Drosophila melanogaster: one gene and its partners. The protein of the gene in region 2 interacts with the protein of the main gene of each other region in a biochemical or structural test. Each region holds a gene or a part of one and is shown on either strand. Other genes may lie near its edges.

Region 1 (4,182 bases), 1.5 Mb from region 2:
GACGCATTGTTGTCGTCCGCCTCCGCCTGCACCACCGCCTCCATTCCGAATCCCACTTACTTGTGTGACTTTCGCCTGTTAACTGCAATTGCAACTGCGTTTCCGGAGGGCAATTTACGCCACAATCTTCAAGTTGGCAGCCAGCTGGGTTTTGGGCGAGGGCCACGATCTCATCGATGTCGCCAGACGGGCGGTTTTGATCTTAATTTGGAAAACGTTAGATTTGGCTCTTTACGCTTTAATGGTCACTGTGTGGATATTCTCTTCTAATTTGTATTGCAAAGCAAATGGCAAATCCGGTAAAATATTCTAACAAATTCTACTAGAGCTGGCAACACAGCGATGGCACCTTCGATTACATTTAATCGATACTTGCGTATCGTGACCCAAGCCGACACAAAAACATAACATGCTTTAAATAAATAGCTCAGACTCGAACCAATTTTAAAAATAGTTTTCAAAACTTCGTTTGAGAAATTCATTTTTGAGAGGAAAGAACATGCATTCAAATTTATTTTTGAATATCCTTCGGAAAGATATTTCAACGAATTTGAGTTAATTGGAGTTCACAAAATTAAATAAAGAAAACCCTGTCCATTAAAAATCAACGTTTTATATCGTACACTTTACTTGCTATTATCAAGGTCATTAAATTAAATACTTAGAAGGCTAGAAATTAGTAGGTGTTGTAGAAAAAATGCTGCATGTATCAGTCTCTCAGTTGAAGCGCTGGAAGTTCTGCTGCTGATTGAACATCATCTGTTGCTGCTGCTGCTGCTGTTGTTGCTGCTGCTGCTGTTGCTGCTGCTGCTGGTGGTGAAAATCTTGCTGGTTACCAGCTCCGGACAATCGAACTCTCTTTGCATTCGGCTCAGCGTTCATTTGCTGCTGCTGCTGCTGCTGTTGTTGTTGCTGCTGCTGTTGCTGCTGCTGTTGCTGCTGTTGTTGCTGCTGCTGTTGCTGCTGTCGCTTATTATCCGACTTATCTTCCTGGTCGTCGTCGGTGAGGAATTCACGCTTGGGATACGGTATGGGGCAGCCGGCGAACACGTCCTGCGTGGGCTGCGGCTCCTCCTGGAAGTACTGATCCTGCATGGCCTGTTCGGAGGTGATGCGCTTGTTGGGATCCATTAGCAGCAGCTTCTGCAGCAGGTGAAAGGCCTTGCTGTCTGGCTTTATTTTGTGCCTTTCCATGTATTTGGCCAGCGAGCAGGTGGAGTATGTGGAGCGTTTAAAGTCCTTTGTCAGCGTATGATGTTCCGGCATCTTCTTGATATCCTCCCAGTCCTTGTCCTGCGGAAAGCCCATCACATTGAAGATGCGGTCTAGCTGATCGTGATGGTACGGATTACTGGTCTTTATGTCCTCCTGGCGGCAATGGAAGATGGGCTCCGAAGTGAGTAGTTCGGCGAAAATACAGCCAATAGCCCAGATGTCGATAGCCTTGGTGTAGTGACGAGCGCCAAGCAGCAGTTCCGGAGCGCGATACCAAAAGGTAACCACCACGGGATCCAGATCTGCCAGCGGTTTCAATGGGGCATTGAAGAGCCGCGCGAAACCCATGTCGGCGATTTTTACGCGGCCCCTCTCGTTGCCATCGCCCATCACCAGGATGTTGGCCGGCTTCAGGTCACGATGTAGCACCCAATTACTGTGCAGATAGTGAATCCCATCCAGAATCTGATATAGCAGACTTTTAACCATACCGCGGGGAACCACAACCTGCTTTTTGGTGGCCTTAGCAGCCCGATGGAACTTAATGATGTGCCACAGGTCGTGCTCCGCATAGTCGATCAACAGGAACACCTTGCGGTCGTTGTGCGACAGAAACACCCGGATGAGGGTAATTACGTTCTGATGCTTCAGTTCGCGCAGCAATGCGATCTCGCGGCAGGCGGACATGGACAATCCGGTGCCGTCGATCTGCTTCAAGGCATATTCTTTGCCATCGCTAAAGAACATGAATACTATAATTATTTATATTGTTTGAAGAGCACCCGATGACCAGTTCACCTTGTCTCCTTCCATTTCGCCTTGTAGACGTGGCCGTATGTTCCGCGTCCCACCTTACAGCCCTCGTAGTTGAATAGGTCCTCCACTTTCGTACGCTCTATCTGCGTTTTCATCTTGAAATCGTAGTCCATTTTTACAAAAGTTTGCAAATTCCACAATTGTTTGTAAATGAAGATGCCGCCAATCAGCTGTCTCCCGATAACGATAACACAGCCTTAACCAGGGATGGAAAATGGGAACAGTGCTCGCCATACCTAGCTTTTTTTATAGCTAGCCTTTTAAAACAGAAAACATTTTTTTATAATTTTGTTTTTTTTAATTTTTTGTTTACTGTTTAAAAAATTCTATTGTATCCACAAACAAGCAAAGCCAGAAAAACTTTCTGTATATTTCATTCAACCTCGTAAAAAAAAAACTTGTTTCTAAAGAAAGAAAGAAAATAGAAATATAATCCCCCTAAATATTTTTGAATTCTGAACCAAATCAAATACATATATATTGGATGTTATATAGAAAAATAGGTAATCCAATAGTACTTGACAAGGTGCTTGTATAATCCTATCACAATAAAATATGAAAGCTCTATCAATAATAAACTCAAAAGAAAACGAAATCAAAATTTATCCATTGGCGATACGCTTTATTTTTCCCTTGGAAAATATCTATGTTTTTATTTTCGATTCTTTGTACCAACAACTTATCAGCTAGGCATGGTAAAAGTAAACTATAATTGTGTCCTTAAAATGCAAGTGAAATTATATGTATATGAACCACGTTGGAAACTCCAAACAATTTAAATTCATAGCAACATCTCGTCGTGTTTCTTTCTCCGTTTCGTATCTCTATGTACATTATGCAGATATTAGAATTAAGAAATGCACAAATTATTGGATTGGAATGCATAAACAAAAGGCAATATGATTGAACGCGGCGAAGGAAGACACTTTTCAATGCGATTGATGAACACTGAACTAAATATGGCAAAAATTAGATTATTTAACATTCTAGTTCTAGATGTAAATTACATGTGTAATTAATATGGAAGAGCTTTGGAAACAAATCGGTGGAAGTAAGTCGAAGCTAACCAAATCGTGTTTGTGTAACAATTAACTTGTTTTTCGTTTTAAGTTTAATATGAAATTAAATGCATTTAATAAATATAGGTGTGCGTGCGTATGTGTTTGTATATGCAAAATGGAAGTAAATTTGTTCTTAACAATGCTTTTTGTTTGTATTCTAGAATTTGCCGAATACATATCGTGTGTTGTTTAACATTAGCTGTATGACAGTTATATAAAGTAAATATACATGTAAATGTATGTTTTTTTCATGCTTTTCGCAGTATTTTTCTCGCGTTCAGATTGCGTTAGAATTATTTGCTTTTCGCGTGTGTCGCCTCTGGGCAAAACGCCTAGTTTAGTTGATTTTTTAGAAATTTTTGCTACGCCTAAATTAACTGGTATAATGAAGTTAATCATACACATGTACATACATACTGTGGGATATATATATACTCGTGTATCTGCTATTTACATCTTTTCATTTTCATTTCGCTACTCATCATCCCGCCGATACTTAACTTAGGCTAGGCTTTAAAAAATCTTAGCAGTTTCTGAGTTTTTAGTAGTTTAGGCTTATAAAGTTATCAGTTTTCAGTGGTTCTCTGCCCTCTTTGCGCTCACACAAGTATAGAAATGCTCTTTCCATATTGGGTATTTTGTTTTCGTGTAAAAATAATGTTAGCACATACAAAAAAATAAATAGGCTTATAAATATTTAGATTTCGTTTCCGTTCCTCTTGTTTTCTCCTCGTGTTGTTGTAGCTGGTGTAGGCGGTACCGTAAAAATCTGGTGTATAAAAACTGTTAATTAAAAAAACTTAGTCTAGACCTTTACAACGTTAAACTCGTAAAAATGATACAAAAAAAAACAAGAGCCTAGAAATTAGCACAATTAATCGTTTTGTACAGCAGCATCCTCTGGTTGCGTAGGAGCGGTAGGGGGTTGTGTTTGCCACATCGATGCGTATTCCTTTACCTGGTCGTGATAATGGCCCGCGGCAAAGCGAATACGCACAGCCTTGAACGCTAATAAATCGGTGGAGCTGGCTGCGATGACGATGTGGTGCTGGGCGGTGCGGCCACCACACTTGATGTGGTCGATGATGGA
Region 2 (7,606 bases):
ACTGAATGACTTTGTTCTTTTCTTGGAACCTATGTTAGGAACTACATCAGCTTGTAACGTTAGTATAGTTAACTACGATAAATGCGATTGGGACGTTTCTCTTTTAGAGTAATTTAGTCTAAAAATCATGGTATTTGGGCTAAAAGCACACACTCGACTTATTCTATACAAACATATGGTTTTCTCCATCCGTTTATGCGGATGGATTCAGTCGGCATTTGAATGCTACAAAAATTCACTCACACTCAGTCTCAAGCACACAATTATGATCGACTTAAGTTTAATTGTTAAATAAAAACAAGATTAAACAAATGCGTGGAGAATGTTTACAACAAAAGATCGCGAAATATTTGAAAATACATTAGGGATAACGATTTTCGGCCTCAGTCGGCAAAATGATTTTGTTAATATAACAATTTCCATATTAATTGCACGCACAAGTGCAATAATTTTGTAATTTTTACATACAATTTTGTTGTACAATTATAAAGTCATTAACTAATAAGATGTTTTTTTTTTTATATAATAAGAGTACAAGAAGACACACAATACAAGACAGTTTTGGTAAAGGTTTTTTCTGGAACAATTCTTTTTTTCATACGTTTATGTTTTATTAAATAAACCGAAATTTTAGAGTACAATAATATTGAAATTCTGCTGCGAAGACGGCGGTGCAGGAATGCTAGTTGTTTGTTGTTTGATGATCCAGTGCGCATCAGTGTCTATAATGTCCCACGCTGACTGTCCCCTTGGCTTCTCCATCGATCCTCCTGCTACTGCTGCTGACTTCGGTCTGCCGGTCTTGATGTTGCCAGGATTCTGTGATGTGAAGTTGGATGGATCCAGAGGCAGTCCCCGTCCGTCGTTGGTAAAATCTTGTCAGCATTTCGGCTTATTATAGTATGTCTAGAAGAACTATGCTGTTTGCCATATTCATATCCTACGTATTGGTAATGTTAGATACAAATCGAAAATCTGTTAATTGTGGCTAGCTTGTCATCCCACCAAGCTGCGGCTTATTGTTTGTTAATAGAGTGTGTTTAGTATATCTGTGTTGCATCTTTACACTTGATTACGGGTCCACTGGCGATGGTTCCAACTTCCACTTACGGCAGTCAATGCCGGGAACGGTGCTCCTCACGCCTGTCGCGATCACGCTCCCGCTCGCGGTCGCGGTCTCGATCGCGGTCGCGTCGCTCACGGTCCGAGGAGCGGTACCTTTCCCGATCCTCGTAGTAGCGCTTCGATGATGGCGCCTCCGCTGCTTCGGCGACTACGGGTTCCGGCGACTTTCGTGGACGCACCGATCGGCTGTTTTCGGATTATGGGATTGAAATTAACGCAAGGTTTTCATTTCGAGCTTAAAAATAATTCGCTTAATTGTCACCGTATATTGTTGCACAAAAGAGCAAAAATATTCTGATGAGCCTAAACAGTTACAATTCAAGCTAACATCTTTACAGAAAGCTTTTAATGAAAATAAAAAATTTGAAAAGCCTATACCTTAAAAATACTACCTTTTAATAAATTATACATTTTTCCAAATATTTTAAAATAAAGTTTCGTCTGACTTTACAAATCTACACTTGTTTTTACAGCAAAAGTAAAAAATCTGTTTACGAGTGAATAAATTATGAGTTCTATGCTATTTAAATGAAGCACTATGATTAATTAATCAGCAACTTTTAAATGAGACAGTGAAGCGAATTTTTAGAAGTAGAACGTCTTTACCTGTCATCCCTGTAGTGATCTGGAGCCTGGCGTTCACGTTCTCTACTGCGAGACCTCTCTCTGTAGCTTCTAGAAAATGAATACGGAATTAAGTGTGAGGCTTACACATGGTAGAACCAAAACTTACCCGCCATCCCGTTCACGCTCACGATCCCGATCGCGTTCCCGCTCCCGAGATCGCTCGCGGTACCTGGACGTGGAACGCTCACGTCGCTGTCGGCTGCGATGAGATCGCTCCCTCGACCGCGACCTTTCGCGCCTATTGTAGCTCTTGGCCTCGATGCCATGCAACGTGTCCTGCAGCGAGCTAATCAGAATTTTGCATCGCTCATCGTGCGCTACCTTGGACTGTTTGATCAGTGAAATGGCTGTGACCAGTGTCTCGATGGCGCTCGAGTATTCACCAGCGGCTGCATCAGAAACAGCTCTGAAAATAAATTAGCATAAAAAGGGAATTGATATTTGATCAACAAAGTAATTAATTATCTAGATAATTTATTAATTAGACCGGATCTGAGTCATAGTTTCAATAATTGGAATTTTCTATGAATTCGACTTAGGAATGGGTTAGTTTTTAAATAATAACTACAAGTTTTGACCTCGTTAAAGAAAACATTTTAAAAACCTTTGCACTCACCTGGCGATCGCCGAACTGCTGACTGTGCGATTTCTGCTCATCACCTCCTCGAACTCCACCTCCGTCAGTTGCGGACCCATCTGCTGCGGATCGGGGAAGGGACCTGGTGGCTTACCCTGCGGTGGCGGCCACGGACCACGTGGTCCATGCTGGGCGAACTGGGGTGGCGGTCCATGCTGTGGCGTCATGTTCATGCCCTGTTGCGGTGGCATATTCATGCCTGGCTGTGGACCTGGTGCTCCGTGGGGCGGGCCACCCATGCCCGGATGCTGGGCAGGACCACCAGGCTGGTTAAAGAATGCTGGGTTCACGTGGGGTGCGGGTGCGCCGTGTGGTCCGCCCGGACCTGGTGCTGGGGGAAGGCCACGTGGCGGACCTTGCGGCGGGAAACCACCGTGCATGGGTGGACGACGCCAGTCGGGACCTGCCGGACCCCTGACGGGCATGCCCATTGGGCCTCCTTGGAACTGCAAGGCAGAAGAGACAAGATTATTTACTGTTCCCAATGATCGGATCGAATCGGTTTCTAAGCTATAGTATGAGTTTGTGTTGCATGGGTTGATCTGTGGAATTACTGAAAATGTTCTGAATACATCGCTTAAGACTAAGTTAACTAAGGTTAACTTAAGTTGGGTTAGTCTTCCTTTATCTCGCCTTCTCTCTGGCTTCGTTAGAATTATATTATGGCATAGATACAAAGAGGACTCAGTGCTTTGGGGATTGTTACCATTGGTCGCTGCGGTGGTCCGTTCGGTGGACCTGGTCGCGGCCCGCCTGGCCGCTGACCTGGCCATTGGCCCTGCGCTGACGGATACCGGGGTGGCGGCTGTTGGTTCCCCATGAGCCCGCCTTGCGGATGCATTGGCGGCTATATTAATACGAATTACGTTTTATATTGAAGTAGTAGTTGTTGTTGTGGGGTAGAAGTGTGCGTAAGCGTTGTCAAAGACATGGAATAGAACATAAATCGTAATACATAAACATTTTGTATAACAATAGCGGGCCATTATACACAATTACAAATACTAGGGGGGGAAATACATTAACGCAATTAAATCAAAAGTATATATTATTTGAGTGGAACCAGGAAGGCACTGCTCTTGATTTTAATTTATTACATGTGCTTTTTTTTGTTGAAAGTCTATGACTAGAGTACAAAAGGAGTAAAAAGAATACAAACTGCCTTAGGCCGAGGAGTGCTACAAAAAATTGCTCTGAAATTACTTGTGAATTAATAGAAGTAAAGAATAAGAATAGTACTTAAAGACATAAATAAAAATTCTTAGAAACTTAATTTGTACGACAGCTTTAGTTTAGTTTATAAATTATCAAATGAAATACTAACAAGAGATCGGATATTTCAGATTGTTTATATCTCACATCTAAAGTCGTTATTGTTTTCTCTAAATTGTAAAACTAAGTTTCTACGTTTAATTTACAAAAGAATATCGAACAACTGAAGTAGAACATATTCGTTTATAAACTATACATGAAGTCGTATATTTAGGGTTTCTAATTTTACCTAAGTAAGCAAATTTTGCATTCAGAACAATTTTGATGGAAATAGGAAATAATGTAGGAATGTAGAAACAAAACAAATTAGAACCGAGCGATATTTCTACAAACGATGAGACCTCTTGGGGCCATGTGGGGCTAAAACAGTGGTTGTGTACCTGCATTCGTGGAGGTCCTGAGTTGGGTCCGCCCACCTGGGGAACCTGCGACATGTGCTGCGGTCGGTACTGGCCCGGCTGCATGATGGAGTTCATCCCGCGCGGTGGATGTCCCGGTGGTCCACCTCCTTGCGGTCCTCCTGGATGTCCGGTGGGCATTGGCCCGCCACCCATACTGGGTGGTGCCGGACCCCTGGGCGGTCCATTCTGCTGCGGCGGCGGCACTGGACGCGTCTTTTGCAGACTCTCGAATTGGGTGAGTGCCTGCTTGCTGGGATACGTGACCACCGGCGCTTGGCCGTGCATCTCCTTCTTGGGCAGCTGGTCGAGCACGGCGCGCAGGCTAGATTCTGAGCCGAGGGAGATTACACTGAAGCCCTTCGACTGACCGTTGGCCCTGTTCTCAAAAAACTTCACTTCCTGTAGATCACTCACGCCAATGTCTCGCAGCGAATTGGCGATATCCTGGTCAGTGGTCCACCATGTGAGATTGCCCACATAAAGCTGGTAGCGGCGATTCATGGTCGGAGTGAGGCTACCACTGCTCTGATGGTACACCCCATTGGGACCACCGGAATTCCGTTCGCCGGGTTCCCCGGAGCCTGGCCCTGCGGCTCCATCTGCGGAGGGCGTTCCACCGCCCCCGCCACCTGAGGCGGCCGATTCGGTGGGACCGCCTATGTCATCGTATAGGTCTACTCCATCGCCTCCAAATTCGTCCTGTGCGGATAAAGCAAAGTAATTAACAAGTGGGTCAAACTGTTGTGGGAATCCCGTAAAATCGTTAAAAATAAACGATCAAGTCTTGTTTTTTTTACAAATTCGATTTTACTCTATTTTTACTTTAGAATTTTTAGAATGTATAGTTATTGGGATTCGTACAATTCTCTACATTTCCATGGCTAAAGAAATTAAAAAAAATTACGTTTCATTTTTATATAAATATAATATCCCTGCACTCAGTTCCTAGAACCCTACTTTACAAGGTACCAAGTGGTCGAGTTCGCCCAAGACGCCGTTCTACCCCCTAACGCAATTCTTTCGGACATCGATCCACCCTACTGTATACATACACACGCGGCTTGCAGAGCGACTGCCTTTTTCCCATGGCTTACCTGAGCCTGCCCGGCAAAGTCCTTGTCGAGGTCCTCCGCGTACAGATCCAAGACCACGTCGGCCATGTTGAGCCGGAAAAGTTGCTATTCCTAGGCGTAATTACTGATTTTTCACCGCTTTTCCCAATTTTCGCACGCACACTAAGACACTCGCCAATCTTTCCGTCTCTGTCCCACTTGCACTCGCGCCTCGTACAGTTTCTTTTTTTTTGCGGGGGAGGGGGAAGCCGGAGCAGAAACCGGCGTGCTGCTGCGCGATTTAGCCGGGTAATCGCGCCCGCTGCACAATTAATTGATTAATTGCTTTGGCGCGTTGTTTTCCGTTGGGTGAATTCTGTAACTATTTACATTCTACTCGTGCACGAACTAGTTTCTTCAATCTTGCGAAAAAATTGTCAGCGTAAAATGGCGGAGCGGTGCAGTGTGACTGTAAAGCTGAAATGTGGAAAACCTATGCGGTATATTTTTGCTCGCATACTAGAAAATACCACATCCTGTTTGGGGTATTCCGCAATTTGACAGTTAATGAGAATACAACTACGATAAAATATATTTAATGAATAGAATTTAATTAGATGTGTTTGTTACCTAAATCGCTTTATTATTACCATAAAATAATCACAAATACTTGACATCAATTTCCAATTTGACTGTGGTCGTAGCGTGGACACAAACCATTGAAAATATATCGACTTCTATCGAATTTTGAATTTTAAAACCAACCGTTAGAACTTTCTTGAAATGTGTAATAAGTTCATTAGGTTCTTTGTTATTAAAAATCGACATGTGAAAATACTTAACATTCATTACAACACCCATAACAGGCATATCTTAATTTAAATATGCATACTTCTAATAAATTTGCCTTTTTAGGGGACCACCATCACACACACATTAATTTGCATAAATTGTTAATGCTGCCCAAAAACTATAGCCATGCATATATTAGATTTGCAGGTCCAAATAGACGCTGACCGTGTCACTTGCACAACTAGACAGCGCACTTGGCCAGAGCTCCAAATTTAGAATTTAAATATAGCAATTAAGCTGATTTATGCGGCCCGTCTGCAGGTTACAATAATTGCCGCTAACAACTCGGCTCTCCGAAATCTTCGAACTTGCTGGTGGCTGGGAACCGAGGAGATTGTGGCGCCGTCGACTTGGCCACTCGTATGCAAATGCGCGGTGAAAAATTGGGGGAAAAAAAAACCGAGGCAGCATTTTTTAGTCGGGCCTGTGAAAAAAAAGACACATATCCCGAAATCTAGTGCATGATTAGCCATGTTATTCGTGTATCTGATGTTTTTTCATTTTTCTTCTCGTATTTGGGCAGTAGTCCACCTGTTGGTATTTAGTTTTTAACTTTGGCTCTTTGACTCCCATATGTTAGTTGCGTTAATGAATTGCCTTAAATGTCAATTACCACTGGCTTTTATCGTCCAATCTGAACGGACGGCAATTATATTTGCTGCTCTCGCCTCATGCGATTGTGTGTTTAATTAACAAGAGTAATTAAATGGGTAATTACGATCTTTACAGCAATCAATCGATTTTTAAATGCTTCAGCGAATAAAGCTATTGCAGATTGGATTTTCGCGATTTGCATATGTGGAAATGTGTTTCCAATTCAAGGTGGGCGGTTCTTCAAGAGCAATCACGCAGATGGAAATCGACGGATGTTGGTGGCGAGGGTGCAGTCAATTGAAATTCTCGGCTAATCGCTGACATTTTTGGGACAGAATTGGGGCTCAAAGGTGCAACATTGAAGGGGAGGAGACTTACGCACGTAGTATTTATCTTAAATATACTGCACGCTTTTAAAATAACCAACAATAATAGGATAAAAATCAATTGCTATGAAAATATTGCGCATACGCCGTGTGGCCTTTGGCTGGCTATCATAAAAGTCGTATAAGTGTTATTGAATGTTTCCGATCACTTAGATCTACATAATGGCTACCACTCATATCAATTGCCCCCCATCGACCATTTCGGACGTGCGTAAGTCATGTCAAAAATTTATTGCGTGACCATTGGCTGGGATACTTTATCAAAAAGCGGCGCCGCAGCCTAACAAAGTGCCAACTTGCAACTTCCAAGCTTCCAACTGCCCAGTAGCCGTCGTGCCGCTCCACCACCATCAGTTGGGCAATGGATACGCAAAGAGAACATGCATAAATCTCACACCACAGCCGGCCATCAAGTGCACCTACACAGCAGCAGTCATTCGATGCGATTCGATTCGGTTCGGTCCTGGCCAAGTGTCGAGGTGCCAATTAAGGCTACACACTGCTGGGTATTTTGACCATATCATACTGCAAACTGCGAACTGTAAGCTACAAACTGCACTGCATGGATAATTTTTTTAACTCCGTGGAGCGACCGAAATGGACCAGGCCGAGTGTCATTTGATTCTTGTGGCAGGCTGGCGCGTTTCATGCGCCTTTGAC
Region 3 (5,077 bases), on a different chromosome or scaffold from region 2:
TGGAGGCGATCTGGAGCAGCGCTCCTTTCGCGATTACGATCTGGCGAAATGGAACGCTCTCGACTACGATTGTGGGAACGGGCATCCCGAGCAGCTCGCTGCATTCTCAGCAGCTCAATCGAGTCAGCTATGTGAGAGGTACTCTTCTTAGGCGGTGAGTCATCTTTGGAAGAGGCCTTCGGCTGCGAAACGTTAAGAAGGTGCATCTCCATGGCATCATCTATGTTGCAGGGTAGCGAAGCAATGCGTTCTCTTGGACCTGAATTGGTTGGAAGGGAACCCTTGGTTAGTTCCTCTTCCTCATCGTTGTCGTCGTCTTCATCATCCTCCTGCTCCTCCTCTGCCTGTTGCCTGATGCGCCGTTCCTCCTCTTCCTGTTGCCTGCGTTTCTCGCTCTCCATCACCCGCTGCAGCTGAGCCTGCACCTCGAGGGCAGCACGTGCTCTGGCCTTGGACTCGGCCTCGCGGGCCTGACGAAACTGTTCCTGGGCAATTGCTAGAGCTTCCGCCTCCGCCTGTGCTCGAGATCTGGCCTCCGCTTCTGCGGCTGCTGCTGCCCTAAGTGTGGCCAAATCCGTGGCCGTCATCTGCTTTATGCTCAGGCGGCGCTCAGTATTGAGGATCAACTCCACCTGGGTGCTACCGCCCTGCGGCTTTTGCGCCGCGAGGTCTGGACAGCCAAGGGCGATCAGTTCGCTAAGTTCGTTGGACATTCCAAGGGGTGTGGTGAACTTTTCGGTTGATTGTCAGCTTTCTTTCTGGATCCCAAGGGGAAAAATTACTCGATTATCTAATATTGCACTGGCGGCTCCCTCGAATTGCGTTGGGTTCGACTAGCTGGGCAAGACTCGCGAGGCTGCCAATGTTGGCCCCAAAGGAAACCTGCGCAACATCGGATTATTTCGTATTGGTTCTATTCGGATCAGATCGGATCGGAACAATCGATCGCACGCTCAATGTCAATGTCTCATTGGCATTTTGGCAAATGCCCGACGACTTGACTTACTAATTGTATCAATGGTCGCCGTTCGACCAAAGACTGCTTCTTTTTGGCGCCCATATACATCCGACATATATATGGGTACAAGCATGTATAGCACCCCCAATTTGTTTTGGTATATAGAGCAGAGACATATACAAATTACAAATCGTAAACAGCAATGAGCTCATTGATCGCGGCGCCGCCTCATCAAAAAGCAAACCCCCTACCCCTTTGCGATTCTAGCCAAAAGATCTGCACCTTGCCCTAAATCTATTGCGATGTGTGGAATATGTGTGAATATCCCTGGAGAGATCGTTTTAGCCTATGTGTGATATCTCGGTGGGGTTCATTGGGCATCTTTCCCTGCCATTCTGTGTTCGGTTCGAAATCTGTTTTTATTTTTAACAAATGGACGACGTTATACCTAGTACACAGTACGTGTGACGCTAGTGCCAGTACAGTGAAACCTCGATCAGCCATGCAAATTGAACTGACAGCTCTCATTTGGAAGATGCATCTCTGATCTCTGATAATCACATTCGACTGATTGGATTTTTTAATTCACTTTGAGTTTCCATTAATTTTCTGATCTTTGCTGAGCTCTGGCTTAGCTTTCACTGTACCGAAAGCACACACATTCGAGTTGGAAAATCTGAAGGGGAAAAGTTTTCCACCCCAGTTGACTTTTATTTTGGTTGGCATCATCATATGGCCAAAATTTAATCATGTACAAGTTTGTGTCTTGGATTTTTGCTATAAGTTTGTTGTGGCAACTAAATATAAATGCAAGCCTTACGAAAATAGCTTTCGAAAATTATAGAAAACGCCAGCTAAGCGGAAAGTGGAGGATGGAGGGCAGCGGAAGGAGACGCCGGAGCGGCGGAGATCAACATGATGATGATGTGGCAGCCTGATGAATAATCCCGCCGATCTGTAGCGCACATATAGATAGTTTGTATCTATGTGGCACACACACTAACGGACACACACGTGTGTGCTCCATTTGTTAGTTTTGAGTTTTTGTTTTGATTTGCTTGGCCGCTGCGTTGTCTTCTTCGCCTTCATCTCCGAGTACACAGAAAACATATTCACCATATTATCTAAGCACAATAGTAACTAAACTGTTTTTACTTGTTGACCCTTAAACTTTTGGAACATAGTTAACAAAGAAATATGGTTTGAAGATATATATCATTCCATAGTCCAAAATGTTTTTAAACTATCTTCATTTCTATCTGTGTATTCGATTGAGTGAATGTTGCACTAGTCTCCTCCATCCCCATACGCTATTTCTATTAAAAGTATCTTTCGCCTCGCTAATTGCAAACTTGGTGGAGAAGTGCAAAGTTCACTATCAGCGTTTTGGACGTTTCACAGCTGCTCATCAGGCTGGATGGTATCCCACTTGATATTATTCCGAATTATACACTCGCCACCATTGGCGGGGGGTCAATAAAACAGTTTGGCTATGGTATCTTGCATCGCGTTTTGTTTAAACAAATACAGTCCGATGAATATCGCGCACTTTTTTTTAACACTCAGTGTTTTGTTTGATGTTTTTTTCGCTTTCGACAATTTTGTTCTTGCCGCACTGCTACTGTTTTATTTTTAAAACACTTAAATGTTCTAAGTTTTGGGTTGTTTTTTGTTCTTGCGCTTGATTATGTCACGGTGCCCAGCAATTGTTCTACCTATCCTATCGTTCCGAAATGCGTTTCTATATTGCACATACGCTCCGTATGTACCTCTAATTATTGTTCTATTCGATTATTTGGTGTTTCTCAGCCAAATACAAAAAGAAAAGGAATATTCAAAGCACAAGAAACGCACACACACCACACACGCACACACACACATCGATAAACAAATTGCGCGAAAGGAGACGATCAATATAGAGATCGGGGGGATCTGACCGGATAGAGAGAGACAGCGAGTGTGCGGGGGATCCCCGTGGTACCCGTACCGTTACACGACGAAGACGAAGCGACGACAATATGTAGTTTATATGGTTTATATGGCAGCAGTGGCGGCGACACACAGCCAACAAACGTAGATTTCAATCTGTTTCGGTTTCCTCGAATTTGAAAATTCTCAGCCGAAAACTGGCCGCAGATGAGAAGAGCGCAGACTTTCGGCGGCGCGTGTATTTATAATTTTCCAATGGCCACGGAGCAAATGGCAAGTAGATGCTTTTCCGCCGGATGAAGCTGCGCGCGCATCTCCGAGAAAGAAGTATCAGCTGTGCGCCATGGGCCATAGGTAGTTTAGACGAACATGCGCACAGTGCGGAGAGGAATCCCCAAGGCGTCGCTCTCGGGAGCCCATAAACATGTGTGTATTTGGGGGCATGATATAGACAGGGAGAGTGAGTGGGCACCGTGTAAAATCGGTGTATATAGCGGCGGTCAAAGCAGTAGCATTGCCAATAAATCATGCCAAAATTTCCAGAAGACTTAACATTTGTGTTTGCAGAAATTCGAATAATATATGGACGACCATTTGACTTGAATCGACATGTGTACATATATCACATATACAGATTATAACTAACAATTTTAGTTTAAAACAACGAAGGGAATTTGTTAGGATTACAATTACTACTGTACATATTTTTTTCCACAATATTTTTGAAAAAAGGTTGTGTTCCTATAAAATTGTAGGACCGACAATGCATCACGAGAAAACGAAAGATATTCGCCGACAATCTGTGACTCGGAATGGGGACGACTCACTAGATAGTCGTCATTGTGGTCCACAAAGTACTCCTCGATGATCCAATTGTCGCCGGCGTACTTGTCCACAGGCATATCGCTGAGGGCCACAAGATCAAAGTGATTACGTTGCCGTTTTAGCAGCAGGCAGCGGGTAATGGCCACGCTCTCTCCGTCACCGGGTGAAGCATCCTCCTCCAGATATGTTTCCAGGCCACAGCCATTCGCCCCATTCCGGATGATGAGCTGCTGCTCCAACTGCTTAAAATACTGAATCTTGGCGGCCTGGGGACTAAACGATGACGCGGAGGGAATTCTATGCGAGTTACTCAGCCCACTTAATTGGCGGCGACATGGGCAACTGGCAATGCTGGCGAGGAGCAGTTCGCATCATCCGCAGCAGCAATAGCAATATCTCATCACATCTCAGAGCAGCAAAGAAAACTCTGGCCGCCGTCAACGAGTTAATGTCAAATGATCAATTGAACGAAAATAACTAGAACAGCGGGGAGTGTTGGGCACAGGGGTAGCTATAAAGAACCACCAACAGTGAATGAGAACTATAAAGTTCTCGTTTAATTGAGAGCTGTTTTTCATACAGCTAGATGCCACGAAGAACGCATAGAAATTGCTTAATTTGCACATGAATATTGCCAAGGTTTCGCTTAACTGCTCTATTTAAGTACCATTTTATTACTGATGAATACAGCTCAAACCGAGTTTCCGCTCTAAGCTTTTAAAAAATGATTATCTCTTAAAATTTTGATTATATTTAAAGTGGCTACTGTTTTTTTTCAAACCTACACTTGAATAACAAAACCAATAGTTATTTGTAATTATGTAACATCTAAGTTTCTGAATTTCGACACAGTTTAAAGGCCTTGCCCAACCAAGTTACTTTGTTTCAAGTACTATCTTATCAACTCATGCTGCTCACTCAAGTGCTCCGCCTCTTGAAGCCCTGAAGCATTTATTTCCATATTCAGTTACACTGATTACAGTGACTTTCCCATGTAATCACTGTACCAGAAGACCAAGAACCAGAGCAATGTGACACATCTAATGACAAATTTAGCTCAACTCAACGCCGCATAGATAAGAAAGTAGAGAGGGATCGAGTGCAGCGGCGAACGATCATGATAGCGCGCTGATCACTTCACCGATCCACTCGAGAATAGGGTGTACTGCAAGACGCACACAAAAGTAAGGAACGATAGGTTAGTCAAAAGGAGGAGAAGGGGAAGGGGAGGTGGGTGGGTTCGATTGATAGCACAACATACATGCTTACTAGATAATCGCTGTCGTGATCGACAAAGTACTCAACGACTATCCAATCATCCGTGTACGGCATAAAACGCAGTGAACAGCTGGACAGGATCAGATC

What was found.
Region 1: of the proteins of Cpsf6 (region 2) and Cdk8, one has a biochemical effect on the other in vitro, tested with the Drosophila melanogaster proteins (one study listed by BioGRID).
Region 3: of the proteins of Cpsf6 (region 2) and Doa, one has a biochemical effect on the other in vitro, tested with the Drosophila melanogaster proteins (one study listed by BioGRID).

What each region holds. Positions count from the first base shown.
Region 1 is NT_037436.4:9,836,462-9,840,643, forward strand, and holds Cdk8 (Cyclin-dependent kinase 8), read right to left. Parts: upstream 2,210-4,182; 5' UTR 2,145-2,209; coding exon 2,014-2,144; intron 1,952-2,013; coding exon 718-1,951; 3' UTR 619-717; downstream 1-618. Other genes in the region: I-2 (Inhibitor-2), read right to left, coding at 1-44; RasGAP1 (Ras GTPase activating protein 1), read right to left, coding at 4,101-4,182. UniProt on the Drosophila melanogaster protein: Component of the Mediator complex, a coactivator involved in regulated gene transcription of nearly all RNA polymerase II-dependent genes.
Region 2 is NT_037436.4:8,309,916-8,317,521, forward strand, and holds Cpsf6 (cleavage and polyadenylation specific factor 6), read right to left. Parts: upstream 5,588-7,606; 5' UTR 5,223-5,587; coding exon 5,157-5,222; intron 4,762-5,156; coding exon 4,042-4,761; intron 3,237-4,041; coding exon 3,096-3,236; intron 2,836-3,095; coding exon 2,369-2,835; intron 2,159-2,368; coding exon 1,859-2,158; intron 1,801-1,858; coding exon 1,732-1,800; intron 1,312-1,731; coding exon 1,116-1,311; 3' UTR 578-1,115; downstream 1-577. UniProt on the Drosophila melanogaster protein: May play a role in pre-mRNA 3'-processing.
Region 3 is NT_033777.3:28,901,444-28,906,520, reverse strand, and holds the start of Doa (darkener of apricot), read right to left. Parts: upstream 3,044-5,077; 5' UTR 2,946-3,043; intron 883-2,945; exon of another isoform or gene 759-882; 5' UTR 714-758; coding exon 1-713. UniProt on the Drosophila melanogaster protein: Dual specificity kinase involved in the negative regulation of microtubule-based transport through phsophorylation of the microtuble-binding protein eEF1gamma.